Linked DNA regions of Arabidopsis thaliana. The protein of the gene in region 2 interacts with the protein of the main gene of each other region in a pairwise test. Each region holds a gene or a part of one and is shown on either strand. Other genes may lie near its edges. The genes, in order: MGT9 and AT3G13440.

What was found.
Region 1: the proteins of AT3G13440 (region 2) and MGT9 interact in a two-hybrid assay, tested with the Arabidopsis thaliana proteins (one large-scale study listed by BioGRID).

The regions. Positions count from the first base shown.
Region 1 is NC_003076.8:25,800,159-25,816,596, forward strand, and holds MGT9 (magnesium transporter 9), read right to left. Parts: upstream 9,554-16,438; 5' UTR 9,367-9,553; intron 9,287-9,366; 5' UTR 9,238-9,286; coding exon 8,992-9,237; intron 8,895-8,991; coding exon 8,865-8,894; intron 8,502-8,864; coding exon 8,345-8,501; intron 8,219-8,344; coding exon 8,097-8,218; intron 8,027-8,096; coding exon 7,952-8,026; intron 7,862-7,951; coding exon 7,634-7,861; intron 7,540-7,633; coding exon 7,495-7,539; intron 7,412-7,494; coding exon 7,367-7,411; intron 7,268-7,366; coding exon 7,238-7,267; intron 7,164-7,237; coding exon 7,044-7,163; coding exon of another isoform or gene 7,005-7,043; exon of another isoform or gene 6,963-7,004; intron 6,954-6,962; coding exon 6,867-6,953; 3' UTR 6,540-6,866; downstream 1-6,539. Other genes in the region: AT5G64540 (mucin-like protein), read right to left, coding at 74-493; AT5G64550 (loricrin-like protein), read right to left, coding at 1,636-3,540; XYL4 (beta-D-xylosidase 4), read right to left, coding at 10,069-10,658, 10,727-11,583, 11,666-11,835, 12,032-12,319, 12,702-13,151. UniProt on the Arabidopsis thaliana protein: Low-affinity magnesium transporter that mediates the influx of magnesium. Plays a crucial role in male gametophyte development and male fertility.
Region 2 is NC_003074.8:4,367,969-4,384,025, reverse strand, and holds AT3G13440 (S-adenosyl-L-methionine-dependent methyltransferases superfamily protein), read right to left. Parts: upstream 6,930-16,057; 5' UTR 5,952-6,929; exon of another isoform or gene 5,855-5,951; intron 5,693-5,854; 5' UTR 5,689-5,692; coding exon 5,612-5,688; intron 5,439-5,611; coding exon 4,679-5,438; 3' UTR 4,451-4,678; downstream 1-4,450. Other genes in the region: DIN4 (Transketolase family protein), read left to right, coding at 1-135, 218-277, 356-413, 493-590, 673-762, 837-905, 982-1,068, 1,138-1,233 and 3 more; TBP1 (TATA binding protein 1), read right to left, coding at 2,157-2,157, 2,258-2,331, 2,438-2,539, 2,645-2,737, 2,826-2,870, 3,004-3,054, 3,153-3,224, 3,453-3,540 and 1 more; AT3G13437 (uncharacterized protein), read right to left, coding at 7,334-7,449, 7,537-7,678; AT3G13435 (uncharacterized protein), read right to left, coding at 8,081-8,196, 8,486-8,585; AT3G13433 (uncharacterized protein), read right to left, coding at 9,550-9,602, 9,671-9,770; AT3G13432 (uncharacterized protein), read right to left, coding at 12,164-12,297, 12,463-12,544; AT3G13430 (RING/U-box superfamily protein), read right to left, coding at 15,325-16,057.

The DNA.
Region 1 (16,438 bases), on a different chromosome or scaffold from region 2:
TTAAGTAAGTCAGTGATGTTCTTACCGATTCTAATCTCACAAATATGTAAACAATAAAGAGCGAAAGACGAACCTGGTTAGGTCCTGAATCGCTTATAGGGCTGCTACACTCTGTAGTCTTCTTGAGCTGACTCCGGAAGATTGAAGAACGTGCTGATCGTCCTGGATAGCTTGAAGGAGACTCATACACCTTCTTTTTAGTGGCTGATGTGACCAGAACACCATCCATCAAGATTCCTTCATCTGAGCATGAAACCGGAAAGCGCCTAGGAGGGAGTGGATCTGATTTAGCGTCCCGTAAACACTGCAGCAGGAGTGTCTTCGCATTGCTAATGTTGTAATTCCTTTTAGGAGTCACCGGACTCAAAAGTGATGACATTTTATGTTGAAAACGGCTCTGCCGGATCTTATCCATCGGCCACGTCTGGGGACTCTGCTTTGGGGTCTTGTAATCCACCTCGTTGTAGACAAACGGCTCGTCTTTGTCCATCATATTGCTACAGTAGGAGAATCTGAGATTCCTTTGTGGATCCTTGTATCACCAGACTTCAAAATGAGACTTTTTTTAATCAACATCACCAGAGGATTTGCAATCACCAAAAACCACAAAGAAAATAACAAATCACCAGAGAAGTCTCGACTTATTCACTCTTTCTCTCTGCCGCTAAAGCTTTCCGATAAGATCTGAAGAATGTAATCGAGAGCACAAGACAATAGTAAGTTTCAGATTCAATCAAAAACAAACCACCGCAGAAACATTTTCCCGCCAAAACTGGCGATGAATATTCACGAGACAACAGCAAAATCTACCAAAGATCCAAGGTTGAAATTTACCGATAATCATCATCAGAACTTGAAGAAATCAAAAGCGAGAACGATTGAAGTAGAAAACGAAGAAGAAGAACCGAAATTTCCGATCAAAACCTAGGGTTGTAGAGGAATCGGGAACGGGAAAAAAACACAGATTCAATCGCGATAGAGCTAAACCTAAAGCTCGAAATCGGAACTTAAATCATAATCACATACCTAAAAGAATCGTGATCGAGAAGCTAATTCGTCTTCCTCTGGTTCGATAGCATCACGAAGCTTGCTCAGAAAAATCTCCACGGCCAAAGAGAGAGAGAAGAGGGAAAAAATTAGTTTCAAAGAGACGAAATGTTTGTTAACCGCCTCGGTGTATATATAGGGCTAACGGAAAATATAACGGCGGAAAGATTCCGTTATCCATTTGATGACTTGGTTTGGTTGTTTCTGTATGTTGACTTTGACGCTGTTTCTTTGACCTTCCATTAAACCGGTCAAGGCGAATTAAACCAAAAGTTATTTAACCGGAAATGCTGATTCGACCCAGTAAGCTCTGTTTTTTTTTGGTACAAAACATAAGAACACATTTTACTTGTACATTGCAACATTCATAACAATGATCAAATAAACAAAGACTTGGGTTCAAGCCATCGACTAGATGGTCAAGTCAAGACCAGAGACCATACAAAAACAGAGACCCATGAAATGTACAAAGGACCCAAGAGTGAAAGAGAAACAAAAAGAAAACCAAAAAACTATACATATTACATGAAGCTTTACACAGACTCTAGCCTTGTTGTTACCACATAGAGAGGAAGCTTTCAGATTCCATCAACGGAGTGTTTGTTTCATGTTACCATTAAGCAGAGACATAAGCCCGCCACCATGAACTCTTTCCTCAGGAATCATAAAGTCAAATATGTTCCTCCCATTGCTGCCACTACTATTGTTGTTTGTTTCGATATCGGGTCTCTCGGTGTTTGAGAAGCTTAAGGATTTCATTGATGGAGGCACAAGAACCTGCATTGGTATCATCAGCTTCTGTCTTTTCTCGGGTTGATGATGCAACGGTGGCAGCGGGCGATCAATGGAGTCCATGCAATCAGAGACCGCACTGACTCCAGATTGAGAATGATCAGTGGTAGTAGTAGTAGTAGTTGCAGTTGTTGTGGTTTGTAAAGAAGTAGAGACAAGGCCACGGAAAAGTCCCGGTCCAATCAAACCAACCTTGCTTCCAGCTTTATCTTGTGACATACTGTTATGCGCAGCGCATAAACCGCTCTTTCCTCTAGCGAATTTCTCGCATTTCCAGTCTCCTCCCCATGAGCAACGTTTCCCACCACCATGTGCCTTACAGAAATCAGTGCTACCTTGCGCACTCTTCTCACAACCATCAGACTTACACCGTTTCCCACCACCGTGCTTCACGCAACAATCAGTCCTCCCACGAGCGCTCTTAGTGCACCCGGCCACAACACATCTCTTCCCACCACCGTGAGCTACACAGAAACTCGTCCCACCATGCACACTCTTAGGACAAATACCACCACCATCAAACATACAGCGTTTTCCTCCACCATGTGCTTTACAAAGCGGAGTACTACCTTCCGCTCCTTTTGTACATCCCGCAAATATGCAGCGTTTCCCACCACCATGAGCTTTGCAGTAGTTTGTACTTCCTTGAGCACCTTTTGTACAGCCTGAAGACTGACAACGCCGTCCACCACCGTGGGAAATACAGAGTCCAGCTTGTCCCTCAGCACTTCGTGTACAGCTTTCAATCCTACACCTTTTACCACCACCGTGCTTGATGCAGAGCCCAGATTTGCCACGTGCAGCCTTAGCACATCCCTCAGGGAATCCACACCGTCTTCCACCACCATGTGATATGCAGAGATCGGTTTTGCCTTCAGCACTCTTTGTGCATCCCAAGTGTTGGCATCTCTTTCCTCCGCCATGGGCTTTGCAGAAAGTAGTTTTGCTCTCAGCACCTTTGTTGCAACCTAGCTTTTGGCATCTCTGGCCACCTCCATGGCCAATGCAGAGCCCCGAAGCTCCTCTAGCTCCTTTAACACATCCCATAAACTTGCACTTCTTCGGGTTGCTCATCCTTTGCTGAGAAGACGTGGCAGAGGCCGACCTGTCAGAGAAAGCGCTTACAGAGAACTCTGACTCATGGCTCAGCTGTGAATTATAAGCATCAGTTCCACAATTAGTACTACACTCTTGCATCCTTGAAGGTTTTCTAACATTCTCCGTCCTTGGAGCGAAAAGAAGCGATGGCATATAGCCACCTGATCGCCTTGCTGAGGTAGAACCCTCATCAACAGCAGCTTGGGACACATTAGTATCCGCATATGTCAACAGAGAACCCTCAAGTCCGCTGAAAGTATCCATGGTCACAGCAGGAGGACCAAGTTGCAGGATTGAGTTACCTCCTGATGAGAGTTCCTGAACACTCCCAGAAGAAGCAGAGCCTTTGTTGTTATTATCATTGACCCTGACATTGTAATAATACGAAGGCGGTGTTGGACCCAAACCGAGAACCAACCGGCAACCACCATCAGGACAATTAGAAACATCAGAACAAAGCTTATGGTTATGGTGAGAGCTCCCAATCAATCTCCCTGCACTGCTTCCAAGACATTTCAAGCTAAGAGCAGTATCGCCGAAATTGTCAAGCTTTGCAATACCATTGCCACGAGAAAAGTGAACAACACTCTCGTTCAAATCCATATGAAGAGAAGAGACAGAACAATGCAGCGGAGGAGATAGAATGACCAAAACAATAAATACTTAGAACACCACCTTGTAGAGCTATAAACATAAAAGCAACTTGAGATATAAACATCTCCCACCGCTGACAAATCCCCATGTATCTGCCCTGTCCATCTTCAAGAATGGGTTTGCGCAAGAAACTATTCTGCAGCAGTTACAAAATCTTGTTAGTAGAAAGCTTAAGCAAGAAGATCAATAACATTACAATGACACGAGACTAATAATCAAGAAAAGCATTTGAGTCAATAGTGTAATTACAAGTTGCGGCTTGTGATGTTAAGAGATTCAAAGTACAGAGACCAATAATTGGCTACAACTGTGTCTGAAAAGGACCAAGTACCAACCAAAATGACTAATGGTGGCAACATTTTAGCCTTAGGTAAAAGTGAAACGTGAAGGACACATCTTTCTATGCTCGAAAAATTAGAAATTTCCCAAAACAACAGAATGAAAGAAAGGATAAGATAAGATTGGTTTACAGATTAGTACACAGTATTAAAAAAAAAAAAACTAAATAATTTTTGTTACTCAAAATAATTCAAGCAAAATCAGAATAATGTTAAGACTTTGAAAACTTCTTATATAACATGGAAAGTCAACTTTGTGTTTGATAAGTGATAAGTGATAACAAGAAGCAATGTCTCACGATTTTAGGTTGTAAAATAAAGATCCAAACTCAATAAACAAGATCTAAGGAAATACTAATTGTTACTATTAAACAAAAATGGAATCAACAAAGATTCTGAATCTCTATATCTCACAAGTTTCTAACTTTGAGGAAGAAGATCTAAATTCACAACAAAAAAATTAATCAAAGTTATAATCAGAGTTAATCAAACAATCATTAGAGAAATCATCATGCGTACTCTAAAAAGTTAACATCATGAAGGTTTTAAAAAAAAAAAAAAGATAAACCCTAAAAAGAGCAAGAGACAATTAGAGAAATAAGCTGAACAAATTTCAGAAAACGAAACAAAAACAAACCATGCATTCATTAATATAACACGATCAATCAGTAATAACAAGATACAAAAAAACAGTACTAAAGAAGGAATAAGAAAAAACCTGATGGATCTGAGACAGAGAGAGATTCCGTAACTCGTAAACTGAGAGTCCCTGCTTCGTCTAAAACATCGAGGAATACGAAGAAGAAGAAGAATGAAACAAAAAAAGAGACTGAAACAGGTGTCGAAATATTAGCGGGGCTACAAAAAAAGAGAGAAAAAAGAGAAGAGGAGATATTTTTATGGTTTTTATTATGAGCGTGTTTGTGTTGTGTGTTAGGCTTTTTCAGGTTCTCTCTTTCTCGTTTATAACCGCGAGTGAGGGAATCCCAATGAATTACCCAAAATACCCTCTGTCTCCGTCGATAGTAACGGTTCTGATTGGATGAGACAACGCTCTATTTTGGGTAATCAATTAAAATTTGCTTTTCGATGAAAACGACGCCGTCTTTAGTGGAGACAAAGTCTTTTATGCCCCTTGTTTTCTGTTTTCTTTCGAGTGGTAGTGATGTTGCGACAAGTCACTTCTCTGAATTAATAAAAGTATTAAACCGATTACCGTCTTAACCGGTCAGAACTGATTCCTTCCCTAATTTCTTATGACGTCATCGTAATTTTATGAACACTTGGTTTTTATTTATTTATATTGTTTTTTGGGATATTGTGAATGTTTGTAATGATGATATCAGCTGAATGAGTCTTTCGAACTTAATTGATGTATGTATATGTTTGTTTTTGTCATTTTATGTGACGCTTTTGTTAATAAACGAGACAGAAAAACGATTATTTTTTTCTCATGCCAGGAATATGGAGTAAAAAATATATAGAATTAGCTGGCATCATTAAACCTAGTATTGTTTAAAAAAATTTAATCAGATTCCACTATCCAAATGCGAAGCACTTGTGGTATCAAGCTTCAACGAAATAAAAGACTTGTGATTCTGTTTCTTTATTTTATGTTTGTACTTACATCTAGATCTATAAGACTATAAGCGAAAACGTTCAAATTTCCTCTACTCAAGCAACATACATATTCAAACATCAATTGTAATTTGTATATGTTATATGTATAGTAGGAAACAATCACAAAACAAAACAAAAATATGAAACAATGCAAATAATATCATTGATGTACGTAAATGAAATATTTCTTCGTTGGAAAATAATTGAAGTGATTAATGAGAGGAACAAAATGTTAGATGTGCGCTGGGAGAAGAAGAAGTAAGAACAATTTATTTATATAATTTGATACCAATTGTTTTGTCGTGGTGTGATGAAAATTGTCGCCAAAGGACCACAATAAAGACGAACGACTATTTTCTTTTAAATGAATGAAATTGTGATTTTTATGATGTTCCAAGAGGCAAATCCTATTACGTCAGCCAATGAGGTTCCTTGCAGAGTGGAAGAATCTATCATAATATTTTAAATAAAAATGAATTATATATCAAAGAAAAAGTACAAAAAAGGCATAAAATAAAAGGAATCTTTACTAGTCGGCGATTCCGTCAGCTTCGGCCTCAACTCTCCACGCGAAACGGCTGACGTCGACGATATTTTATACCTTCTTAATCATTTAATAACATATCTGGTAACAAATGTGTATGTGGAAACACGAAAGCCTTGTTGCAATATTTTACATCATGTTTTTAGGTTTTGACTTCATCAGCATAGGGTTTAGGACAGAGTTTGTTTCTTCGTTCGCATGCATACATTTTTATTTTATAAAATATTTTCTTCTAAAGCTCCTTATTGGATGGATTTTAAATTGACTTTGTTCAAAATAAACATCAACAGGCCCAACTCTAGCCCAATCTTCTCTGCCAATGTAATCTCAAAAACTTCTCTTTTGATAAGACTTACAAGAGAATCCAAAACACACCATTTTTGTGTGTGACAATGGAAACCTAAATCATGAAGAGACTTCAAATAGAAACGTTATAACATCAACTAGCGATATTAAAATAGGCACTAAGCCCGCGGGTCTAAACGGGCTTCAACCGATAATTATTGAAAAGTTGTCTAGCTAATAAGGAATCAAGGATCCTAAATTTGATTTCTATGCTCTAATTGTAAGGAATCGATGGTAGAGCTTATCTTTGCAATTACAAGTCACAATGCTTCTGCTTTTTTCAATATGTTTGATTAAATTTTATGATGCGACAACTAAAATAATTGTGAAGCTCGTTCAAAACTCAGAACGACCACAAGTATAATAATCGAAAACAAGATCTGCCCAATGCCCCTTCACAATCTCTCCATCTAACCCAAATTCAGCCATCAAGATCCCACAAGTCCTTTGTACCTAGCGTACGACATTATGATCACAAACACGACTACACAAAGTGTCCCCGTCAAGCCCACCACCTGCAACAACCAAAAACCCCGATAAACATAAGTTAATCTTGAGAGAGATCTTTATTTCATCCTCATGCGAATAGAATTCTGGTTTCTTACGTATTTGAACATGTATCCATGACCGTCGTTCCATGTGTATGGAATGTTCATCCCGAAAATTCCAGCGACAAGAGAGTACATCGATAAGCAAACTGTTCCAGAACTTAACACTAGCTCCAACTGCAGGATTTTGAAGATGATCAACAAAAGAAGATGACATATTAAAAAAACTTTGGCTTTCGACATTCACGTACCTGAATAAGCTGATTCCGATGATTGTCAAGCTGTGAATAGAAAACCGACGAGTTTTAGCTTTTAATATAATGACTTATATTCAGATTTCAAGAACATGTTAAAAATTTTGAGGTTTCGTTTTTGGATACCTGGATGTTAATGTAGTCCTCTGTGTCATCAATATACTCACGTAGCTGCATCAGAGTCAAAAATTAAGTTTTTAAAGTAAAAAAAGTCTGCAAAAAAGAACAGAAAGAAAAGGGAGCAAGAGGATAACTGTTGTTAATCTGTTCAAAGTGCTGTCGATCTGCATGAAGTATGCCTGTAAAGATATCAAGACGTGTGTATTTGGACTTGGCATTTGAATGGAAGATAGATCAGAATCAGATAAAAGATTTTGTGCAGGATCAACAAACCTCGAGTAACATTTCAAGTTCTTCAACATCATTCTCATCCCCATGAACTGTGGCTAAACTCGCTCTACTTGCTCTTGAAATCTTAGAGCCTATTGTTGGGGAAGTAGTATACCAATTTGGTTCACCAATACTACTAATCGGTGAGGAAGCACTTGAAAGTTTCCTTGAAAGGTAAAGATCTGCCATATCATCGTCATCATCCAGCAACTGTTCGAGTTCATCTCTTACCTGCAAAAGGCGATGAAGCTACTTAGTTCTCTATTCATATTACAAACTTTACAAATACTCATAAGTCATAAGAAAAAGATACCTGCTCACCTTTTGAACCCGAGCTGTCAACCGAGTCATGGCACTCTTCAATTTCCGAACTCTATCCAAATTACGGCTACTAATCTACAAGACGAATGTAAAAATGTAGTTGAAAACTGGATCACTGGTGATAATAAATCATTGAGGTACCTACCTTTGAGGTAAGCTCATCCAAAGCAGGATAAGCAGCTGTTTCTAATTCTGCTGTCCTTGCAGCTAAGAAGCTACAGATTGCTTCCAAAGCTACTTCCAGCGCCCGAAATTCAAATGGGGATTCTATATTGCAACAAGCAGACATTTCAACATATATGAAAAGGCAAATTAAGGGTCATCAAAAAGGAGATGAATTTCACAGAGTTTAGATGGTTTAGGAAAAGAGCCAAGAGTCTCTAGGGACAATACCATCTTCGTCACCAGTATCACCGTCGTTTTGAGCACCTGCGATCTCTTTCCCGTCTCCTTGACCACCATTGTGTGATGCATTTCCAACAGGTAAGCGTCTTCGAAGCTCCTCCACAACTGGAATAACATTTTCATCAGACGGATCCCGAAGCAAAACCTGTAATAAGCCCAAGTCATTACTACAAGAAGAGAACTCAAAAGCTATACTCCTCTAAGCATTCCATAGTGCTAAATAGATCAAAGCCTGGCTGATATTATGAACTTTCAACACACTATAGCATAGTAAGAACAGAACTGAAAAATTAGCCAAATTTTTGCCTAGTTCAGTGATTGCTCAAGTTCCTTAACACATTGTCAGCATTTTGAAAAACTGGCTACAAGAAAGAATCAAACTTTAACATGAACATCTGCATATTCAGAAAAAAATCTACCTAACAAAATAAAAATCGAAACTTTTTACTGCAAAAACCCTACAAATCTAAGTGTGGTAAGCAAAGGAATCAAAGAGTAAACTACTAACCTCTTCGGAAGTGATAATAGCCTTGATATGCTGCATAAAGAAGAAGGAACAAAACTAATTACACTCTGAAACAAAAACAAAACCCAGAAACAATGAATGCCTGAAGAACCAAAAAACAGAACCAAACCTCCAAATTGAGAACAATGGCTCTCTCTCGGCCAAGAATAGTGGAAGGGTAAGATAAATTGGGGTCTAGAATCCGGAGATCGCGAGCGTGGATCTGGACACGGTGCATGATCTCATACTTATCAACATCGAGTGGCTCACTCTGTCCCGTCGCGTCAATAAGAGCCCACGACGCTTGTGGCGTTTTCTTCTTCACCGTCACAACCGCCGAAGGATCCGCTGGAACCAAGTACCCGTTTTGCGCCATGTCTTTCAAAAACTAAAAAAAACTACCTCACCGTCCACTTCCACGCCGTCTGTAAAATTCAGAGCACCAGCATCAACACAACAGTCGAATTCTTCATCAAAAAAAAAAAAGCGAACAAGAGAATCTGACCTTGTTGAGCTCAAGTGTTCATGCGAATTCGACGGAGAAAACAATACTCTAAAGGATTCAGAAAAGCGAATTCTCGTCCTGTCTGCTCTTTTTTCATTAAAAAGATTTTCGGAAATCTTTCTTTCTAGATTTTTGTTTAGGTTTGGTTTTTTTGCTTTGTGAGAGAGTTTTACAGTTTCAGAAAAAAAGGAAAACGTGATATATTCTGTTAGAGGTGAATCTTATTTATATTTAAAATGTAAACCGCAATAAACCGGTAATAATAACCCTGATTTCTGGTAAATGTTGTTCATATTTGAGTCGAATCACCTAAATTCGACACAAAACCCGGTTTAGTTTAGATTAAGAAAATAAAAATTAATTTATTTTTGATCGGGATATACTACGAGTTTATCTGCTTGTTATCAGAATTATTAGTTTGAGCAACTAATTAAAAAAAAAAAGACTAAATTTACTTAAATTGAAATACCAAACATAAATCTAACTCTAACTGATATTAGCTAGATTTATGTTACACATGAATTACACATGATATATTTTAGATATTCGAATTATGTTTATATATGCCCCACATTTTCGGCTACTAATGCTATAATTTTAAAGAGATTCACAATTTCTTTTTTTTATTACTTTTCTTTTCCAACTTGCAAAAGCTTAAGCATATTAATATTCTTTTTTTCTTCCTCAAATAAAAATATAGAATCAGATTCTAATGCTTAAGGAATGTTTTAAATCTCCGACATGAAGAAGATGCTTTCCCAAACCAATCTTCCTCTTCCCAATCTCATCAACCACACTCAGATCTTTACATATCTCTACCTTAAACCTAACCACCGCTTCTTCCCTCTTCCCCAATCGAATCTTCTCGAATCCTACCAAATGCTTCCTCGGCGATCCGTGAATCGCCGGCGGCGTCGTGAATAGAAACACCGTGTGAATCCCTTCTCTATCTCCTCCGTTTCGTACCTTGATATGAACTTCAAACGCCGATCCACCGCCGGAGACAGCGTTTTCGCAGTGCGGTCCGATCGCGTCTAGCGATTGACATTCCGATGATCGGCAAACGTGATTCTCTTCGAGACCGAGAGAAACGAGACTTGGAGCTTTGACTAAAGTGTGACTGAATTTGGTGTAGCTGAGTCCATCTCCGAATGCGTATACTGTTTCTCCGGTGTAGAATCGGTAAGTCCGACCCGGATACCCGCTTGCTTTATCGGGTCTCATGTTCATTATTGTCATCGGAACTTTCTCTACATACGACTGTGGATACCACGTCATCGGTAATTTCCCACCTACATAACCAAAACCGGTTTATTCAAATTTGCAATTACAAAAACCGGTTTGAAACAGAGTCTCTTACTTGGATTATAACGGCCAAAGATGATATCAGCAATGGCGATACCACCGGCTTCTCCGGGATAACCAACCCACAAAATTCCGGCGATCTTTGGGTCATTCTTAGCGAATGTAATATCGAAACCTCCACCGGACATAATGACGAGCAAGACCGGTCCTTTTGCTGCTTTAGCCACTTGGATCACCAGCTCTTGTTGCTGTCCAGGAAGATGCAGGTCGACTCTGTCTCGGCTCTCTGCCTCGATTGATTGATCGGCACCGATCACAAGCACAGACACATCTGCAGTGGCTGCTAGTTTCGTGGCGCCGGCTACATCCGCTACAGCACAAGCTACATTGGAGCAGCCTGGTAGATATGTTGTAGATACCGTCCCGGCTAGTCCTTGTAGTGGTGTTGTGTATTTACACGGCGTGCCTTCGTAGTTTCCAATCATTGTTTTGGTGACATTCGCGTTTGGTCCAATCACGGCTAGTGTTTTGATCGATTTAGGAGAAAGCGGTAAGCATCCAGTATTCTTGAGTAGAACAATGCCTTGTCTTGCTGCATCTGCTGCTAGCTCTTGATTCGCAGACGTGCAAACGTCGGTAGGACCTAACCCGCCATAGATTTGGTTCTTTGGGTTTCCATCAAAGAATCCTAAACGCATAAGGGTCAAAAAGTTGTTCGAAATCGCTTTATCGATAGCTGCCTCGTTTACCAAACCCGACTTAACTGCTTCCTCTGTATGTTGACCCAAGAATGAACCACAGTTTAAATCCAAACCTGCCAATATAGATATGGCTGCAGCTTCAGCTGGAGTCTTTGTATAGTGTTGGTTCTTATACAAGACATCTACTGAATCACAATCTGAAACAATGTACCTATAAAAATAGAACCAAAATCAAAACCAAAACACACGAAAAGGATTTAAACTTAGCTGATCGGATCAGATCAGATCATTACCCATTTAATTTCCATTCACCGCGGATAACACCAGAGAGCAGATCTGGATCAGCGCATGTCGGTTTGCCGTTAACTTGATTGTAAGAACACATAACACTCGCCACATTCCCATCAACCACACAACTCTTGAACGGTGGTTGATACGTATCATCCATATCTTGTTGAGTCACCTACTCCATCAAAACAAACGCACAAAAAAAGTTACTTAAAACACTCAAAAATGTATTTGGTCTAACCAAATGTTGTACCCAACCCGAACTTAGTACCATTGAACCGGATTAACCAAATAAACCACAACATCACATACACAATTGACAAAAACAGTTAAAACACTGGAAAATGTCTTTTTAGCTTTTAGATTTTTACCACGGCGTTGAAACTGTAACGTTCTACGCCTTTCCAATTATCGACATCGTAAGCGGTATAGTGTTTGCAGCAGGCGGCGACTTTGAGACGGTTAGAATCGCCACCGTCAGTCTCTTGAAGACCCTTAACGTACCCTGAAGCATACTTACTAGCGAGCAATGGATCTTCTCCTGGAGTCTCTTGCCCTCTTCCCCATCTTGGATCTCGGAATATGTTCACGTTCGGTGACCAATACGTTAGTCCGGCTAATCCCACGTTGTACATTGCCCTCGCTTCCGTTGAGACGACCTTAACAAATAAGTGATACCAATGTCATTCAAAAAAGCCATGTGTATCCAATCCGGTTTGAAATTGTATTGACAAAACCATATTCGGTTTATTATATTTCTTAGAAGAAATGAGCTGAAACTTAACCATGAATCATAATCATATTAATCATGGCACTGAAAACAGGTGTGGGGAGAAATTCATTATTGGTTACAGGTACGAAAACGACGTAGTATAACGTGTTGTAAAGTGTTTACTTGTACCAAACGAAAGATCAAAAAAAAAGGAGAGGCCCAGTTTCATAATAAGTAAGATATTCCCATTATCCAAAAAGAGAATAAAAGCAAAGGACGAAAATAAAATTTTGAAAACAAAAATCAAAAGTGGATAAAAAATTAATTACCTTGCCAATGGCTTGAAACAGAGATACGTTGAAAGAAGCGGCGGTGAGTATAACCTGCGGGAAACTCGTAGCTCCGGGAACTTGGCTAGAAAAATGCGTGCCGGGTCCGATGTAAGAAACGCCGTGAAGTGCTTCAGACCACCATTCATACGTTGGAATCCCAAGACGAGTCACGCCGTTAGCTTTACTCACTAAAAACCCGATCTTTTCTTGCAACGTGAGCCTCGCGACCAGATCAGCGACTCGGTATTCGATCTTCAAAACGGTGTTGCAGAAACCATAGGCGGCGAGAGAAGGGTTTGCAGCTACGTCGCAGGCGAAAACCGGCGATGATTGAGCGTTTGAGAAATTTAAAAAGTAGAGGAAGAAACAGAGAAAGATTAGATAAACAGAGGAAACAGAGGATGGTGGTGCTCTGTTTCTCCTTGTTAATGGAGAAGAAGAGCCCATTGCTTTGTGTTTCGATTTCTTGGGATATTGGCTTTGGTTTAGTGAGACTGGTTTTATAGTAATAAAGAGTGGTAAGCTACTACTACGCTCTCACTAAAGAATCTGTGGTTAATATAAATTATTGTGACATTTATTTATTTATTTTGACCTATTATAATTAAGATTATGTGAAAAAGATGATACGGTCTTCGAGGAAAGAAATAATGATACGGACCATACGGTGTTTGTGGATACTAGTATTAGGATTTATGACCTCTGTCATGTGTTTGTTAAATCATAAATCTGATTTTACTTTATATAGTTTTGCAACAAAAAGGAATAAAGCATAGTGGGTTTAAACTTTATACATAAAGTGTACATCGAATATTCTACGTATAAAATTTACTTATTTCTTTTTGTCTCAACGTATAAACTTACCTTTTTCGGTATAAAATAAAATTGTAAGTATAGATTTCGTTTGGCTATAGAGTACAATGTTTCAGACGACCCCATATCAAACTTTTTTACATATGCTTTTCTTTTTCAAAATAACGAGATCTTTGAGTTTTTTGGTCTGTGTATCTCTTCACGTCCAAAAGCATGGTAGATTTTTATCAAGAAGTAGGCATCTTCTTTAAGTGTAGCAATATCTTTATAGATAATTGGTGAAATAACTATGTTTGGTTAAGCGTTAAGGTATGGTCAATTCGATATATGTGGTTTGGATACTCAACACGATTGAGTCCAATGGACTGTGTCGTGTGCATATATGAAAGAGAGAGTTTGCTAAGTCGTTTTTTGGTTGAAAATGATCATTAAGAGCTGTGGCTAACTATTGCGTGTAAACAAGAAAGACAAAGTGTTTTAAGATTACTTTGAAATACTGAAACTTATGTGGAATCATTTAGCTTAATGTGGTCCAGTTGATGATCCCACATAGACACATCTTTTAACAAAAGTGAATGCCCTAAAAATTGTTATTATATACTGTTCACAATGTGACAATTAAGTCTAGTTTTCCAGTAACTAATCACCATTTTACGTTGTGTGTGTAAAAAGAAAAGTCATAGATCCCCAATAAGCGAAAGTGTTTGGTAGTGACCCGTGACGGTGTCGTATTAGTTATCAAATGGTAAGTTTTTGTCGAGGTCCAAGAGCAAGTTGCATTCTTTGTTTCGAGCCCGTGAATCTTAATGGTTTTCGACTTTCAAGTTTCAACAGTTGTTTTCATTTGCATGACAGCCTGTCACTTTAAGTTTTTTCATGCGCGTGACTCATTCACATTATACTTGATCTACATATAAATTAGTTCAATTAACGCCGTTTTATATACTTAATTTGATGAAAACATAAGCTTAATGGGAAGCATGATTAAAATTATCCATCTAGTAATGGAAGATTCTATAGTCCTAAAACATTTAGTTACTTCGTAGTTTATAGCTTTTGTTTACTTTTTGGCGTAGGTTTTTTCAACTAAATCCAATTAGCTAAACAGTTGATTTGACTCATAACATATGAAGGCTAATATTTGTATTTTTACAAATGAATTTTTTTAAAAATAAGTATGCACCACTTGGATTTTACTATTTGAATATTTTCTGAAAATATGTATTACAACAATATATAACAGATAAGCGATCGAATTTCCACATCAACATCCAATGCATGTGTCTGATTTTATTTTAGTTTGCTTGGACCAATAAAACACAATTTCCAAATTTGAATAAAACAAAACAAGAAACAAAAAATTTCCTCAGACATTTTTACGGACGATATATGTATATTTATAAAAAAATTACATGTAGATTTAGTGTCGCCAAAGAAATGTTGCAAGCTTTAACCGAAAAAGCCAAAAAGGATTTAAAACGTTGCAACTTGCAAGTATTGTCACATGTGCTAACAAATTATTATCATTATTTGTAATAAGGGATTTTCAGAAATATTTGTATAAACTAAAAAGTAAAAACCCACCTATACATATATAACAAGTAGAAGAAATGAGTAGATTTATTTGTTTGGACTTTGCATAGGACACATTTAATTCACAAGTAAAAAAGGGATTTACACTTTATTCGTTAAACTAAATAAAGTCACAAAGATAATGATTGCTAAGTAATGTCTGCAAATATTAATTATTGTTTTACAGGAAAACATGAGGTGAGCTCTAACTATTACTATGAGTATACTTCTCCTTTTGGATTAATTAGCATTAAGTAATAACTATGTCTATTTTATATTAGTACTAGTTTAATGTCGGTTGCTAATTTGCTACTACAATAAAGCCTGGTCTGATAATAAATTCCAATCACAAACATTATTAAAATCAAAATCAATTTGGCTTTATTTAATAATGAGTAGTTAGGTTTGCAGCATTTGGAGACATACATATTTAGGATAATATTACATATATATTGGCTCCAATCAAAAACAAATTAAAGTTGCATGGTTACGTGTTAGCAAATGGTGGGGACAAAGATATCAATTAGGTTATTTACGTCTTAACTACGTTACAACAATGTCTCTATCATATAATTCCAAATGTGTCATGAAAACCTTTTTTTTTTTTTTTTGTTAAAGAGTTTCATGAAAACTTTATCCACATAAACGTTTTTGAAATGCATGTGTTTTTAGTTCACATATGCGCTCGGCTGCATAATTTTACGGAATCATAATATATGCTCAATTATTTTACTATTTTCATTTGTTTAAATTAAAAATCAAATGTATATACCATTTTTCGCGTTTAGTGTTTTAAGAAAGCTAGTCAATTATTTTGTTGTTCCACTATTTTTATGATGCATATCAATCATCTAATTGTCGTTTCTTACTTATCAGTTTACCATTGTATTGTGCGCAATTTTTTTAAATTTGCATGATTCGCCACTAGAATCTTAACTTTTCGGAGAGATTACTTTTTCATAAAGAAACAATTGGGTATAGTATTATAATTTCTTCAAGATTGTCTTTTACATTTATTTACAACAACAAAAATTGACCTAATCTTTGAATAATATACATAAGGTAGATGATGTTATTGTACAGGGCATGTGACTTTTTAGACATCCCTATTATTTATAGTTAGAGCAGGTGAGGCGAGGATCGATGAAGACATAACTACTGTCAATTATTGTAATTGTTCACATTTCTCAAACCCCAAAATATTCTTAATATAAAATAGAAGAGGCATGTCCCATAATCCCATTATATATGTAACCTTGTATATATTCATCATCATTATTTTATTTTGAAAAAAGATTTTGTTCATAATTATCAAAACTGGATAAGATATTCGGTTATGTGTATGTATC
Region 2 (16,057 bases):
GGGGAAGATGTTGGATTTGGTGGTGTCTTCCGATGTACAACAGGATTAGCTGAACGTTTTGGGAAATCTCGAGTTTTCAACACTCCTCTCTGCGAGCAAGGCATTGTTGGCTTTGGCATTGGTTTAGCTGCAATGGTCACTTCTTCTCTTCTTTTGTTTCTTCTGTTTACCTCTCATTGCTATCACATCATCTTACTGGTTACTTATTCGCTTGCAGGGAAATCGAGTTATTGCGGAAATTCAGTTTGCGGATTATATTTTCCCGGCTTTTGATCAGGTAAAAATGCTACCTTTACCTTTAAACCAAGTTATGATGACGCATGAGTTCTCTTTATGGAGTTTTGTGATTTCGTAGATTGTTAATGAGGCTGCAAAGTTCAGATACCGAAGTGGAAACCAGTTTAACTGTGGAGGTAAACTCATATCTTCTTGTGCCTTCTTGGTTATGAGACACCAAGTTTTTACTCATTGGGGTTTATGTGACAATTGTAGGACTCACTATTAGGGCACCGTACGGAGCAGTTGGTCACGGTGGACATTACCACTCGCAGTCCCCTGAAGCTTTCTTTTGTCATGTCCCTGGTATCAAAGTACATCTTCTTACTAAAGCTTCTTCTTTCTCTATTTGCTTCATATTCTTAGGTGTATATGAAAATTGCATGTTTTGGGTAGGTTGTTATTCCTCGAAGTCCACGGGAAGCTAAGGGATTATTATTGTCATCCATCCGTGATCCGAATCCCGTTGTCTTTTTCGAACCAAAGGTACTACTTCTTGAGTTATTTTCAACTTCAAGAACCTGTAAAAGAGTCTTTGATCCTTTGTTCTTCTTCTTCAGTGGCTATATCGTCAAGCGGTAGAGGATGTCCCTGAAGATGACTATATGATACCTTTATCTGAGGCAGAGGTATATAGGTTCCATTTCTAGTGTCTCTTCTTTTAGTACACTTCTAAGACTAATAAATGAAAACTTTTTGTCACAGGTTATGCGAGAAGGTTCCGACATAACTCTTGTTGGATGGGGAGCACAGCTCACTATCATGGAACAAGCATGTCTTGACGCAGAAAACGTTAGTTTTTATGTTTTGCACTTAATTAGTCTTTGGCGATACAGATGATGAAACAAAATGTTTTTGCAGGAAGGAATATCGTGTGAATTGATAGATCTCAAGACTCTGATCCCTTGGGATAAGGAAATCGTTGAGACCTCAGTGAGAAAGACTGGCAGACTTCTTGTAAGTTAAGCTTCTCTGAGTGAGTATCATTGTCCTAAGTCTCAGAGAATAAATGTGTTTGCTTACTTCGGTTGCAGATTAGCCATGAAGCTCCTGTTACAGGAGGCTTTGGGGCCGAGATCGCTGCAACTATAGTTGAGCGTTGCTTCTTGAGGGTAAAAACAAGTCATATTTGTCTACAGCATTATAATTTTTGGTAACAATGTCTGGTTTTCATATTTGCTTACATGTCTGGTTACTTTTGCAGTTAGAAGCACCTGTAAGCAGAGTTTGTGGCCTGGACACTCCTTTCCCTCTAGTGTTCGAACCTTTCTACATGCCAACCAAGAACAAGGCAAGTTTTGTTTCTGGTCTGTATCTTATACATATATTTTCGTTTTTGTTGCTAATTCTTCCCTGGCTCACAATTTGATGCAGATATTGGATGCAATCAGATCCACTGTGAATTACTAGCCCATCTTAGCATTGTACACATGATTCTCTGTCTCCTATCTTCGAAATAATTATTGATGCTGGTGGTTCAGACATGTAATGGATACTGTAATCACCACTTTTGTTATTTAATCTATGATCTTGAAACTCTCCATCTTTGTTCACAATCTTGGCCAATCTCTATGATAAACAAGACTTTAGGGCTACACACTGAGTTAAGGTTCTACTTGTAACATAAGTGGAAATGTGAGGACACTACAGCAACATACATGTAAGACATATCTTGGAAAGAAAAAGAAAAAAAATAGAACCGAAGAATTGTCTTTAGAATCTCCATTGTGTATATACAATGTTATATTATGAACCAAAACACAAGGTGAGAGTCTAGCTACTGTGAAAGCCTTTGTTCAAGGGCAAAATTCTCAGCAAGCTTTAGCAACTCCAAGGGGCTAAGACCGCACAACTAGTTTTGCAGGGAACAAATCCGTGACCCTATAAAAGATAAACACAACAATTAGGTTCATGCACGAATAAATCGAGAAATCAAACATTACTAAGAAAGATGAGGAAAGTTGACGGGTGTGTTACATACTATTGCTGTATCTTTCTGAATTCCGAGAGCACGGGGTATATATTCTCAAAGGCTTTGTAGGTCTCATCTCTCATCTGATAATGAGTGATCTCAGGATTTTTTCAGGTGACAGAAGAGCTAGAGACTAGAGAGAGACATAACAAGTATTATCACAAAACCTAAAGAGAAGTGAGATATTACCTTGGCTCCTGTTATTACGATCTTCCCAGAGACAAAGATTAGAAGGACGATTTTTGGGACTTTCATCCTATAAATCAGCCCTGGGAAGAGCTCGGGCTCATACTAACCACACGCCAATATGAGAGAGAGGTAATGGCCATCAGCACAACGTTTTTATCTCTAAAAGTCGGTCCTTGACTACTAAATGTATAAGTTAAGATCACTCACACTTGAGAAAGCAGCGTGAGAGTAAGCAAGACCTTCAAGTCTTATAGGGAATTTGACATCACAAGAACCTACAATATTCTGAATCTTGAAATCCTGCAGGATGTAACAATTGAATATATTTAGTATAAGCAAAAGTAAGAAAAAAAATGTTGGATAGGGAAAAGGTTTAAAGAAATTGTACCTTGAATTTTGCAGGGAATCCCAATTTCTGCACAATCCTAGCATACTAAACAATAAAACATCTCCTATTAGCATAAACAAATGAGGAGCAAATAGCATACTGCAATTATTGCTAAAGTAAAGAAGAACAGATCTATAAGAAAGTTAAATTAAAGAGGTTAAAGATAAAAAAAATCTACCTTTCTAGCAGCCATCTTCGAAAAGTCCTCGCTCTTAGCTCCAGTACAGACCTAATTGGAGATTAGTCGCCAAATTCAGAAGAGAATTCAAACCAATGTAATTAAATTTCAGAATTATGAAAAAGTATTGCCAACCAAAATAACTATACCATTTTCCCTGAGGCGAATATTAATGCTGTAGTCTTCGGTTCTCTGATCCTCATTATCACCGCAGCAAAACGCTGGAAACATAAAACACAAGAGGTATTACATAAGACGAGCTTAGCTAAGGCAAATTAGTTTAGCAAAAGCCAAAAACAGATAATATCTTAGATTCTAATTAATCAGTACACAGTATATAGACCAATCAGATCTCAGGTAACAATAAGGTCAACTCAAGGAGAGAGTACTCTTCCAAACAACTTTTCTACCGTTTATTAAAACAAAAAGTCACAATATAATGCAAATACCTTGGGATTATATTCAGCATTCCGAGCCTGCAAAGCTATGGCTTTAAGATCTAGCTTGCAGTCTAAGTTCACCGTGGAGACAATGTTTCTGAAACAAAACATCAAAGATGTCAACAGGGGTCAAACAAACACTTAATCCCAAGAGACAAAAAACAAATACGAAGGCACAAAAGAACTCACTGAAGAGTAGGAACAATCCCTGAAGGATGCTTGCTAAGATCAACTGGATTACTCCCTTCCAATCCTTGATCAGTCATTCTTCTATAGTTACACAAAACCAAAATCAACACAATCAAAATAAGCAATAGCCAGAAAATATAATAGACACTAGACACGATCCAAGACAATATGCTTAAAAGTCTTATCAGATAGACTTATCATTCAAAAGGGTTTCAATTATTTGAGAATACAGAGCCAATTTTAGATTTCATCTTCCAAAACAACGAGACTTATCCTCTTAAGGTGATGAAACTCATAAGATCTAATCGAAAAAACTCAGGAAAAGGATTAAAGGTCAGACCTTTGGATAGCGAAGAAATCCGAAATCTAGGGTTTCGTAGCTTTAAGACGAGAAGGAAAGATTCGAGGGAAGAGTTTGGGCGAAAGGAAGCCGAAGAATTGAGAAAAGGAGAAGCCTTTTATACAAAGAATTGAGAATCGAAGAGGGAAAAAGATTTATAAATCGGTGCTTATATAAGGGGAGAGTGAATTTGTTTCTCTCGCTTCTGGTTTTTAGATCTGTGAGAGAGAGGAGGTCATCGACTTGCGTTTCGGATTTGGGATCCTTAAGCCCCTTTATACCTATATATACATACCCATGCTACCCTTGACCGTCCTTGTTACATCGAGGGTAATTTTGGAAATTTATGCGGTAATGCTACGATGACGGCTGTCTTTCGGTTTTATGTGAAAGTCCACTCCTTTTCGGCCACGTCAGCTTTAGTGTTATAACGCTATTATATTTTTGCATATTTAGCGATTTAGTGAACATTTTTTTTCAAGTAGAAATTTATAATTTTTCATTGATTTTTTCAAATCACATAATGTGGAATTGAAAATCAAAATTTCACATCAGTTAAAATCCACTAACCAATAACCCCACTAAATCAAATCACTGTTACGACTACACCACCAACACAAAACATGATTTTCATAAAAATTAAAACACTAGAGAATTCTTGGTTAAACAAAGCATGCTTATGAGATCTCTAGCCATCTTTGTAGTATCAGCGCCATTGTTTCTCCATAAGCGAAGATAAGGATTTCGAAAACTGCGAAACAAACGATGATGATGATGTCTCTTTGTCCTGGCTCTCCTCATCCTTGTCTCTCCAGAACTTTAGGATAACGAGATTCTCCTCTTCTGTTGATCTCTGAACTACGATTCTCGAAGCATAACCTTTCTTTCTCATCATCAGACAAATCTCTGCTGGGAAATTTGAAGTTAATGTCACTAAGTAGAACCATCCTTTCTCTGATAGCAAAAGATCAACCACAGGCAAGATTTTATCGATGACTGTCCGGCCATTTTCCCCTCCTGCCCAAGCAGAGGCAATACCTTCCATTCCAACTTCATATTCAGGTGTTGGCACATAAGGCGGATTCACCACAATCACGTCGACTGAGCCAGCAAGTCTCTTCTCTAGACCAGTAGCTAAATCTGCGCAGATAACATCAGCATTAACTCCATGTGCTTCTAGAGTTTCTTTTGTCACTCTTGTAGCTATCGGGTTAGTGTCAATGGCGAGATAATGAACACCAGGAACTTCGTTTTGAAGAAGAAGTATAAGTGAAGTTATGACATATCCGCTTCCGCATCCAATCTCCATACAAATCTTAGGGTTGTGCTCTATAAGGTTGGTGCGATCAGCGAGTAATGCATCAACTAGCGCAAATGAATCATCACATGGTTCATAGACCTCACGATGCGAGCTTACAAGACGGATAGCAGCAATTCTTGGTGGCATCTTGTAAATGACTTGACTACTAAACAAACAAACAAAAACCACACCATTACAAGTTAGAAGGTTTTAACTTTGAGAAGGTGTATTCCATATTTCAAATATAAACAAGCTTGCAGTCTAAAGTTCACCATAGACATCAAACAAACACTAACTCTTAAGAGACTAAAATAAAGACAAAGGCACAAAAGAACTCACTGAGGAGTAGGAACAATCCCTGAAGGATGTTTGCTAAGGTCCATTGGATTACTCTCTTCTAATCCTTGGTCAGCCATTCGTCTAAAACAACAGACAATCAAACTAAGCAAAAGAACTCAGAGAAGATAATTGCCACTAGACACGATCCAAGACCACAAGAAAACTTATGCGTAAAAGTCTGATAAGATAGCTTCATCAAATGGGTTTCAACTATTTGGGAATACAGAGCCAATTTTAATTTCATCTGCCAAAACTACGACACTTTTCCTCTAAGCTATAATACCGATACGAGAAATCATATCTGAACGATTAAACCCATGAAAAGGATTAAAGGTCAGACCTTTCGATAGCGAGCAAATCCAAGTTTTGAACACGAAATCGAGGTTTTCGTAGCTTTAATACGATTATGGAAGATAAAGAATCTGGCTTTATGAGATGGAGGCTCAATCGTAGCCTTGAAAGTCGTGCCCTTCTCTCTCTCTTGAAGACAATTTCCGGTAAGTAGATTTAGTTTCCTTTTTCTTTTTGTTCCGATCTGCTCTTCATCGTCGGTTTGAAGCCTCTTCAAGGAAGTCCAGGAGTGAGCCGATGCTTGTCTCCGTCAACGTGTGGTGTGGAGCTCTCTCTCTGATGTGGATTTGGCTCTGGTTTTGTCGGTCGAGAAGGTTGCGGCGGGGGTCTCTTGGTTATGGACGCTGAGGGTTGCTGCGAGGTTCTCAGGCTCACCCGTGATTCTAGTCGCTGCGTCCACGGCGGAAGTTGGAGAGGGGTAAGGGGGGGTTCGTTGTCTGATGCGGTGGTTAACAGTAGATCTGTTTGGATCTTAGATGGCTGCAGCGGGTTTTGGATCTAGAGAGTCTGACTGAGCCACCAGTCTTTAGGTCTGCCGTTTTTGGTCTCCACCGGTCCGGATCGACGTGTGTTTGGCTCTGGGTCTTTGCTATTTTCCGGTGATGGGAGAGAAGTGTTATCGCTGAGTGTTTCGGGTTGCTAGGTCGGGATCCGGTTCCGTGGAACCGCTACGTCGGAGCGGCTAGCTTTCCGGGAGTCTTGTGGTGGGTTGGTGCGTTGGAGTTGAGTCTCTACAGACGAAAACCGGAATCTTTCGTCGGTGGTGGACGATTCTCGGAGGCGGCCACAAAGCTGTGGGACTTGAGTCCGCCGGATCTAGGTTTTGGTCGCTCTGCTAGCGACGGTCAACAGGCGGCGAGCTTTTTTCTTTTTCCTGGCGATGTGTCAGAAAACCCTAATTTTGTAACTGGACCGAATTGTTTGTAAGTTTCGGCCCAAGCCCATTGGGTAGTTTTAATGAAATTATAAAAAAAAAAAAAAAAAAAAAGAATCTGGCTTTTTGTAAAACGCGGTTTTGGGTAGTCTTCGAAATCTTCAATTTTATTCAACTAGTAAAGAAAAAATCTCAGACGAAAGATTTTCACGAAGAAGAAGCACCGGCTACGGCGGAGGAGAAAAAGTGGAAACTTGGAATAATGAAATCAAGCCTACAAGTTTCAATAATTTACACTTTAGCCCCAAAACTTACAAAATCAACATAATTGAATCTTCCCATGCGTGTAATGGGCCGAAAGCCCCTTAAATTAGTGGTTGAGATATAGCAAATACACGTTTCTAATTTCAAGCTTTGAAGTTTGATCTTGGTCGATATTATCTTCATAGAAATTGAAGGATGGGATCTTATGAAAATGTTCACATAGCTCCTTTTAGTTAATCATTGCAACAAATCCAGCCTTTTGCAGGAGGCGAACGGCTGACTTTTACGGTGATCTTCTTTCCTTTGTGAATGTCAATCTCTCTACCTTCTTCTTCTTCTTCTTCATTGGCTTGTTACACGTTAAAACTATATTACAAACCTCATTTTAACACCATATAATAACAATATTTGCACTTATGCAGTTATGAAGACTTACTAATTTTCCGGTTTTTGGAAAAAGGAACGACGGTCGAATTGGAAAATGTGATGCATAAAAGTAGAAGCAAAGCTATAAGAATGAACTTGAGACTCATTTTTCTTTCTTCCTCTTTCTTCCCGGGTATATATGTATATAACATCTTATAAACTATAAATTAGCTAGTGTTAGACTGTTAGGCAGAGATTATATATATCAGGGTCGTTCTCATTACAGTTGGTGTGATACTGATATGTATACGTCAATGCATGCAATGAAAACATATTGACTTTCTAAGTCTTGTCTTTTTTTCCTTATTTTTGCATTTGTTGAAAAGTCCAATGTTAATCATATCATCATTTTGGTGAGAAAATGAAAAAGACCTTGTTGTCACTCAATACTCGATTTTAAATCGTATAGTGAACTAAATAATAATTTACATATCGAAGTTTCATTTAATTTATTCGAAGAGTATCACACACAATGAAACAACTTTACAAATAATCAGAAATCACAAGTTAATAGATTATATATAGATTGGATCGCTAATTAAGATCGTTACATGTCATAACTTAGAAATGATCTTCGGTGGACCGCCTCCGTGAGGAGCAGGTCTAGAAAAACTGCCTGTAAAGCCAATCTTCATTCCTTTGCTGATGTGTATATTTCCAAGCCATTTTCCTATTTAAAATTCGATTAACCATAAAATAAATTTCCTATTTTTTTCAAGAATTTATGTATATGTAAATTAACAATTGTATATTTCTATACAAATTAAACAACAAAAGTGTTGCTAGTTTGTAGTTATCATTTATTGATCGAAAGCAATTATTAATTCTACAAGATCAACTTTTTCCATACATCAAAGAGTTTTACGTGGCATATGTATAGATAATAGATCCACGAATTTGATCTGAATATCTATCAAATAACAACTATAAAATAAAAGAGATAGGTAATGGATACTTACTTGTTGTGCGAGTTGGATAAGTAACTTTAGCCAAAGCTGGGTTTGATGCAATAGACGAGAGGAGAATCCAACCAATTAGCAAAACCAACTTCCAATTCATCTTTTTAAGCTTTAGGACTATGCAAAGACTTAATGGGTGGTCATATAAAGAGAAAAACTTGATGCGGTGGAGTTGTTTATTACATATTTACAACAAATGATGCTTCTAAGAAATAACATTAATTATATAAGAAGATTTAATAAGTTTTTGGACTTTTGTTTTATCGATGAAGTTGCTTGAGATTGCTTAGTTTAATGAGGTCAAATTAGAGACAGGGTGTCATGTTTAATACTATAATTAAAAAGCATAATTATCGATCAACATCATACCTAGTAGATTTTTTTTTAAAAACCATTTTTAAAAAATAATAGTTGTTCGTTGAATCAACTAACTAAACCAAATTAGGCCAGTCTTATCAATACGGTTTGATTCCTCAAATAATTTTTGTTCGGACAGAAGATCAAAACGTAGGAGTTTTTTTTATAGAAAGCAAAAGGGCGACAAACAAAGGAATTTTGCGTCATTGGAAGTTCACGCTAAGATTTAAACATCGGAGAAGCAAACTCTGAAGTTTTGATCGTCTTCTCGTCCAAACCGCCAAGTCTATCAAATTGAGAAAATTTTGTTTCTAACCCGTTTAAAATTGAATGCTTTAACTTATGAGCTGTCTTCTTAAATATAAACGGTTTTTACCAACATATATATGATGTGTGTCTTTTCATTCTAATCAAAAAGAGTTATGGTTTTCTCCTTTGTCAAGTAGTAAAACGGGGTTACCGTCGGAAATTACTTCAATGTCGGAAACAATATTATGATGGGCTTTTATTTTCAGTACAACGTAAAATTCTACAACTTCAGAACTATTTTTTGTAGCTAATTTATGAGAGAACCTATTAAATACGTATTTTCTTTGATTCCCTGATTTTTCTTTTCGTTACTAAAAAATAAAATAATTATAAAATGGGTCCATCTAACCACCATGACTCATAAATGGCAGGTGCTCTTTCTCCGTAACCTCGCCTTACTAACAACACTGGGGCGCGGGTCTCGACTTACTTGGCCGTGATTCTATTATCACTGTTAGAAAAATTGGCATTAGTCATATAAAAGAAAAATATGGATCGAATCGGATGATAAATACTTACAAAGTTTACGGTTTTGGTATGGCCAAGTTGAAGCTGCATAAGATGAAATCACCAATGAGAGAGCCAAAAACAAAGCAATCAGCCACAAATTTCTCTTCATTTTCTTTCTGTCGTTGTGTTGTATAGCTGTAGTTAAAAATAGTTCTATGTATGTTTTATGTGTATTTATACCAGATTTAAAATAAAATAAAATAAAAAGTTTGGAACGAGGCAGCGTGTGGAAAACATATAATCTGACTGACTTTCAAAACAATAATAGTCTACGACGAAGACAAAAAAAAAACAAGGGAAACCTTTTCTGTTGAATTGTTATACAAATATGTTATGAATCCAAATTTTAAATATGATGTAGAATAATATATAAGAGATATGAATCAATTCACTTACTTTTGTATAGGGGAGTCTTGGTTACTGATCATAAAATGGTTAAAGTAGAATCTGTTTATAAATATCCATATCCATATTATCCAAAAGTAGAATTTTGTTCGACATAGATCAAAGGAACTGTAGAAAAGACTAGGTCCTAATTCTTTGAAATAAACGTAAAATATGGAGATATAACTAGAGAAGACTAGGTCTTCATTCTTATGATTGTACGTACGTATAGATTATTGACGTACTCTTCTAGTATTTTTGTTCAAAAAACTGAGCTCATCTAGTCGTACGTAGTTTATAAAAAAAAAGGTCGAATGCAAAGAAAAATCTATAGCGTATTTTGAAATGGTCAAAAATGTAGTGAGACACGACACCAACATTGTCTTTTCATCTGAACCCTACCCTTGAACACATATGCTTGACATTGCTCATCTTCAACATTGGTCCATGCAACACGTTATTAGTTTTTGAATACTGGATGATATTGTTTGAAATCCATATGTAGCAGCACATGGAAAGAAAAAAGAATAGCTCATATACATTTGAAGACTGTAAATTAAGCGTCTGATCGGTAGATATGTTACGTATGTATATAGTGTTTTTAATAGAATTCTCCTTTTCCATGAAATACGGACATATAAATAGAAATCTATGTCTAAAAGTGACCAATTATAAAAGCGGTATATATATTGTACTTGTGAAAAAGAAGTTATACTCTCGTCGCAAAGTACAAAACTCCAAACTCCAAAACATTATATATATATATATATATCTTCCAAAAGAACATTACAAATTACATTATACTTTATCATGTTCGGTTAACTAATTAAATTAAAACATTATCACTGCTAATGATCATATGTAAAAAGAAAAAACTACAAACAATTTTACAATTTTCTAAACATGTATGTCTAACCGCCAGTGCCTCTGGGTGGAGTCTTTTTACATGAATATGATGCCCTTATGTCTGCTGGCTGAAATGTTTTAATACAGTGCCTTGCGGGTGGTGATATACTACGTTGTGTTGCGATTTTTTCATCTATAAGAAAGTTAATGTAGGAAATTAGAAATATAACAATGACTATATATATTTGATTTAAACTCTTTTTTTTTACTTCACACCATAGACACCCAATCTTTCTTGATATTATCTCTGGAATTTGATTCTTTTTCTTTTCATTTTTCTCTTGCAGTTATTACACATGGAGATTGACACAAACATTTAGATGATAACTGATAAAGAAAAAAATCAGTTAGTAAATAAAATAAATAAAAATACTCACCGAACTCACGGGATTTGTGTTGAGGTACGAGCATTTGGGACGAATATGCAGAAGAAAAAACAAGAAGGAAAGTTATCAACCACAAGACTCTTTGCATTTCTATGGGTTTTCTTTATCTGTAAACTTACAAAATTTAGTGCAATATAATACATTGTGGATCCATCACTTAATGGGTATTTATATCGATCAAGTCGCTGCGAAAGCTACAACATTAGTCAAGTTTCATAATGATGATTATTACTTTGGGGACTATAAATTTCCAAGAAAAAATAAGTACACACAAATAAAAAGCAAGAGAAGCTTTTTTTTTTTTTTTTTTTCTAAAGCGGGATTGTAATTTCAATAACACGGCGTATGTGGAATTTTCAAATTTGTGATTGGATCTCGATCAAAATCAAAAGACATTTATTGTGGACGACCAGACTTACCAACAGCATTTTTCTAGTTAAAGAAAAAATATGTTCTTTCACACCTAGCTAGTGATGATCGTCGTAGAGCATATGCACAGAATATCGTATAAAAATATAATAATAATATAAGATGTCAAAGAGCATGAACATCGTTATCTAGGAACGTGTTTTCACGTCCAATAATAACCCAGTGAATACAAAAGACAAGGTCAATCTCACGTAAGTAATTTAAAATTTAGGTGACAGCTTGGTTCGTTGACAAAAAAAAATTGTATGGAGAGAGAAAATAATCAAAACACATTTGAGCCGGCCATTGGGTTTCTTTTTAAGTATCTTGTCCTTTGCATAAACTAATAAGGTTCACAAATCAGGAACATTTCTTAGATTATACGATGTATGTAGCCACAAATCGTATAGCCATCGCCTTATACTGAATTTGGACTTGCGGCTTGTGGCGAGTCACCCTCACCCCATTGGCGATCGGGTGGTGACTTACTACGAGGTACTCTGATCTTCATTACCTTTCGAATGTGAATCGTTTCTGCTATTGTTTCTTCTTCTATACAATTTTCATTAGGTATCAAAAAATTGAACTGATCATGCATACATGCATGTAAAAAACAAAAAGTAGCTAAATGTTATCTAACTTTCTTTTATAATTACATAGCTTCTCATTTAGCATATTTAGGAAAGATGATGATATACAAACATCAATAATACTTACTGGATTTGTATGAGACGACGTATGACGAAATCGCGAAAGAGAGAATCAAAAGGGAAGCAATCAAACAGAACTTGACCTTCATTTTCTGGATGATACCTTATATTGTACATGAGTATAGATATATATCAATCAAATATATAACTTTTGTTTAATCATAACTTATTGATCAAGTTTTCACGTAGCGCGTCAGAAGACTTTCGAAATAAACATATTCTACATATATAATATAATAACTGATATAATCATATAAGTCAAGAAATAGCTATGTTATACACGCTATATTGGGTCAAAGGATACTAAACTATTTTATACTTCCGTAAGTTTACTATGTTTTCATTTATTGACGATAAAGCTAAGATACTCTATTTGTCAGCATTTCAAACAAAATATGTACAAGTCAAACAAAAATCCTGATTTTTCCCTGGATTTGGACTGTCCTTTTACATTTGGGGTGCATAAATAATTAATCATACAATATTTAATGTCAAATCTTAAAGAACAAAAAGAAACAAAAACGATGTACGAATATGCATTGGGTGATTGGCTGATCCGTCTAACCATATCAACCGGCGTGCGGGGCACCTACACTGGATGGTGAACCTTGGCCCGCAGGCGTTGTCACACTCCGTGGTGTTTGAATCTTCTTTGTCTTGTGAATATGGATCATTTCTCTTATTTCGTCTTCTACAAAAAATAAAGTACGGAACATGAGGTCCTTCCATTGAGTTTATATGTAGTCGTTAAAATCGAAGACAGATTCCTTAATTTGGCTTTAGCATACGTTAATATAGATGAAACAAACCGGATGACAAATATTGATGATACTCACTGATTTTTCGAAATTTATATGGTTGATCAGCTGAGATCGTCTTGAGTGAAAACAACAAAGAGAGAACCAAAAGAGAAGCAATCAACCACAACTTTGCTTTCATTTTTTATTTTGTTTTTTGGTGGTATACGTTGTATACATGTGTATTTATATCAAATCAAACGTATACGACTACAAGGGTTCCTTAAAAGTTATTATATGAAAGCTTTCAAATGATATTCTATCAATCTTGTATAGTTCAGAACTTTGACGACGCAAAGGCTACACAATAAAATAATTTCATTCGGAAAATATGGATTTAATTAATTAGTTATGGGTAGTCAATGTGCATGGTGCACCATTTAGATAGCAAAAATATAAGACATTTGATATGTACAGTCTTGTTTGGGCTTTAGTCTAGATACAAGTATATATATATACAAATAGCGTATGGAAGAAGTTTAAAACAAATAAAATATGCATAGTACATTAGGAAAAGGTCAAATATGCTTGTATAAGTACATTAGGAAAAGGTCAAATATAATATGCTTGTATACGGATTCATTTCTTGGTCTTTTTGATTCAAACAAACGAACATATTATCACACACAAGAGAAAGAATTACAAATTTTATCTACAAGTCAAGAGTCAAGACTTTATAAATATGAAAATTTGGTATCGATAGGATCTTATTTGCTTTTAAGAACATGAACATCGTTATCTTTATTGAGTTAAGGCATATATACATACATACAAAATAAACTGGTTCGTTGTCAATTTCTAAGAAAAGGAAGGATATTGATGTTTGTACACATTCAAAACCAGTTTTTCTAACCGCCATTGCCTCGCGGTGGCGGCTTTTTACAAGATCCACCAGCCCTACATCCGTGTGCTGGTGGCGAGTCACTATGAGGTGTTCCAATCTTCATTGACATTCTTAAATCTTCTTCTAGACATTTTAGGTAACTTCTTAGTATAGATATCGATAATACACAACTTTGTCGATTAATGCAAAACATGAATCAATTAAATATGCGAATCATAAATTAAAATAAAGGGATGATTCATCCCGGATGAACATGAATTTATGTAATAACCGTAATACCAATTTCATGTAAAGAAGTGGAATAAAAAACTGCATTTCTGTAAACTTGCGTTATCGAGAAAACAATTCCAAACTATGGAACATTCTGCCATTTCAGAAATTGCAGAACCATTCTGTCATTCTTCACGCGGTAACACTCTGAAAATTTTGTGTGCGTGTTGATGCCTTTGTATCGTGGTATGTCATATGCTACAACTTAACAAGATTTTATGTACATACGTATAGATCAAATGCTAGTTATGAGTGGGTAAGAGTGTACGTATACTACATTATATTTCATAACATCATAAATAAAAACACTCACTAAGTTTACGAAATTTGTATGGTTGAGCTGAGACCGCCTTCGATGAAATCACCAAAGAGAGAACCAAAAGGGAACCGATCAACCACAACTTCCTTTTCATTTCTTTTCAAACTTAAGTTGAATATTTCTTTGATGGTACGGTATACAGCTCTAAACTTACGTGTATTTATATCAAATCAAACATACGACTAAGGTTCATTATATATATTCTTTTACTTCGTAGACATTTTCCTTGCAATGTAATCTATTTTTAAAACAATTCTAAGGTTTCCAAATTACCGCGTGAAGAAATTTGAAACATTCGTAATAGAGTTACGTAATTAACTAATTATAATACACATAAGACAGGATCAAGTCTTCTGCACAAAGAAGATTGGGATGACTGCACAAATTATTACATTTTTTTCTGTTTGAATTCTGGTCACTATAGTTGTAACTAATCGGAACAAATTGAAGCAAACCAGAAAGAAAATGTAAAGTCAAAAAAAAAAAAAGACTGTTAATTAATTCCAAAGAATACATTTTCCACCAAATCTGAGAAACTATGTGCAAACCAAATAACATTAAACACTAAAGACTGATCTCAAACGATCCCATCAGTTCTCCTCTGTTCAAGTAAACCTGTCTCAGATAGTGAGCCTTAGTTTAGTTAACCGATGAATTGTTCGAACTTGAGTCTGGTGATGATCCATTACTAGCCATAGAAGCATTACTGATATCTTCATTGTTATCATCGTTTCTCGATGTTTCTGCATCAGTCTTTGGCTCATCATCATCTCCTGTAGGAAGCAGATATCTGCAAACAGGGCATGAGCTATGAAGCTCAAGCCATGGCAACAAGCAGTCACTATGAAACTTATGCTTACACGGCATCTCTTTAGCCTCCATTCCAATCTCAAAATCATCCAAACACACACTACACTGCAACAAACTATCTTCGATTTTCACCATCGCCAATGCCTCAACCGCTTCTTTTGTAGCTGGAGGTGTCCCATACCTGTTGTTCAGATCATTCTCAGCCAAACGCTGAAGCAACGTCTCGAATCCAGGTCCAATGAAATAGTCACCCAAAGATCCAGAAGGAACAGAAGTGGTGTCTACAGAATCTTGATGAACCCTGATCCTTTGGTTAAATGAGTTGATCAAGACGACAAGCTCGCTATTATCGGGATTATCCTCGTTGTTCTCGGATTCGATCAATAATCCAGCTCGAATCCCCTGAAGCAGATTAACAATAGCAGTTGAATGTCTAGTCCTTATCCTCCTAATCTCTTCAAGTTGATGAGTTATATCAATTTCTCCATCATTGTTCTGATCACCATCATCACCATCATCTTCGTCTTCGTCTTCATCTTCAAGAATAGATTCTGAGTCTTCC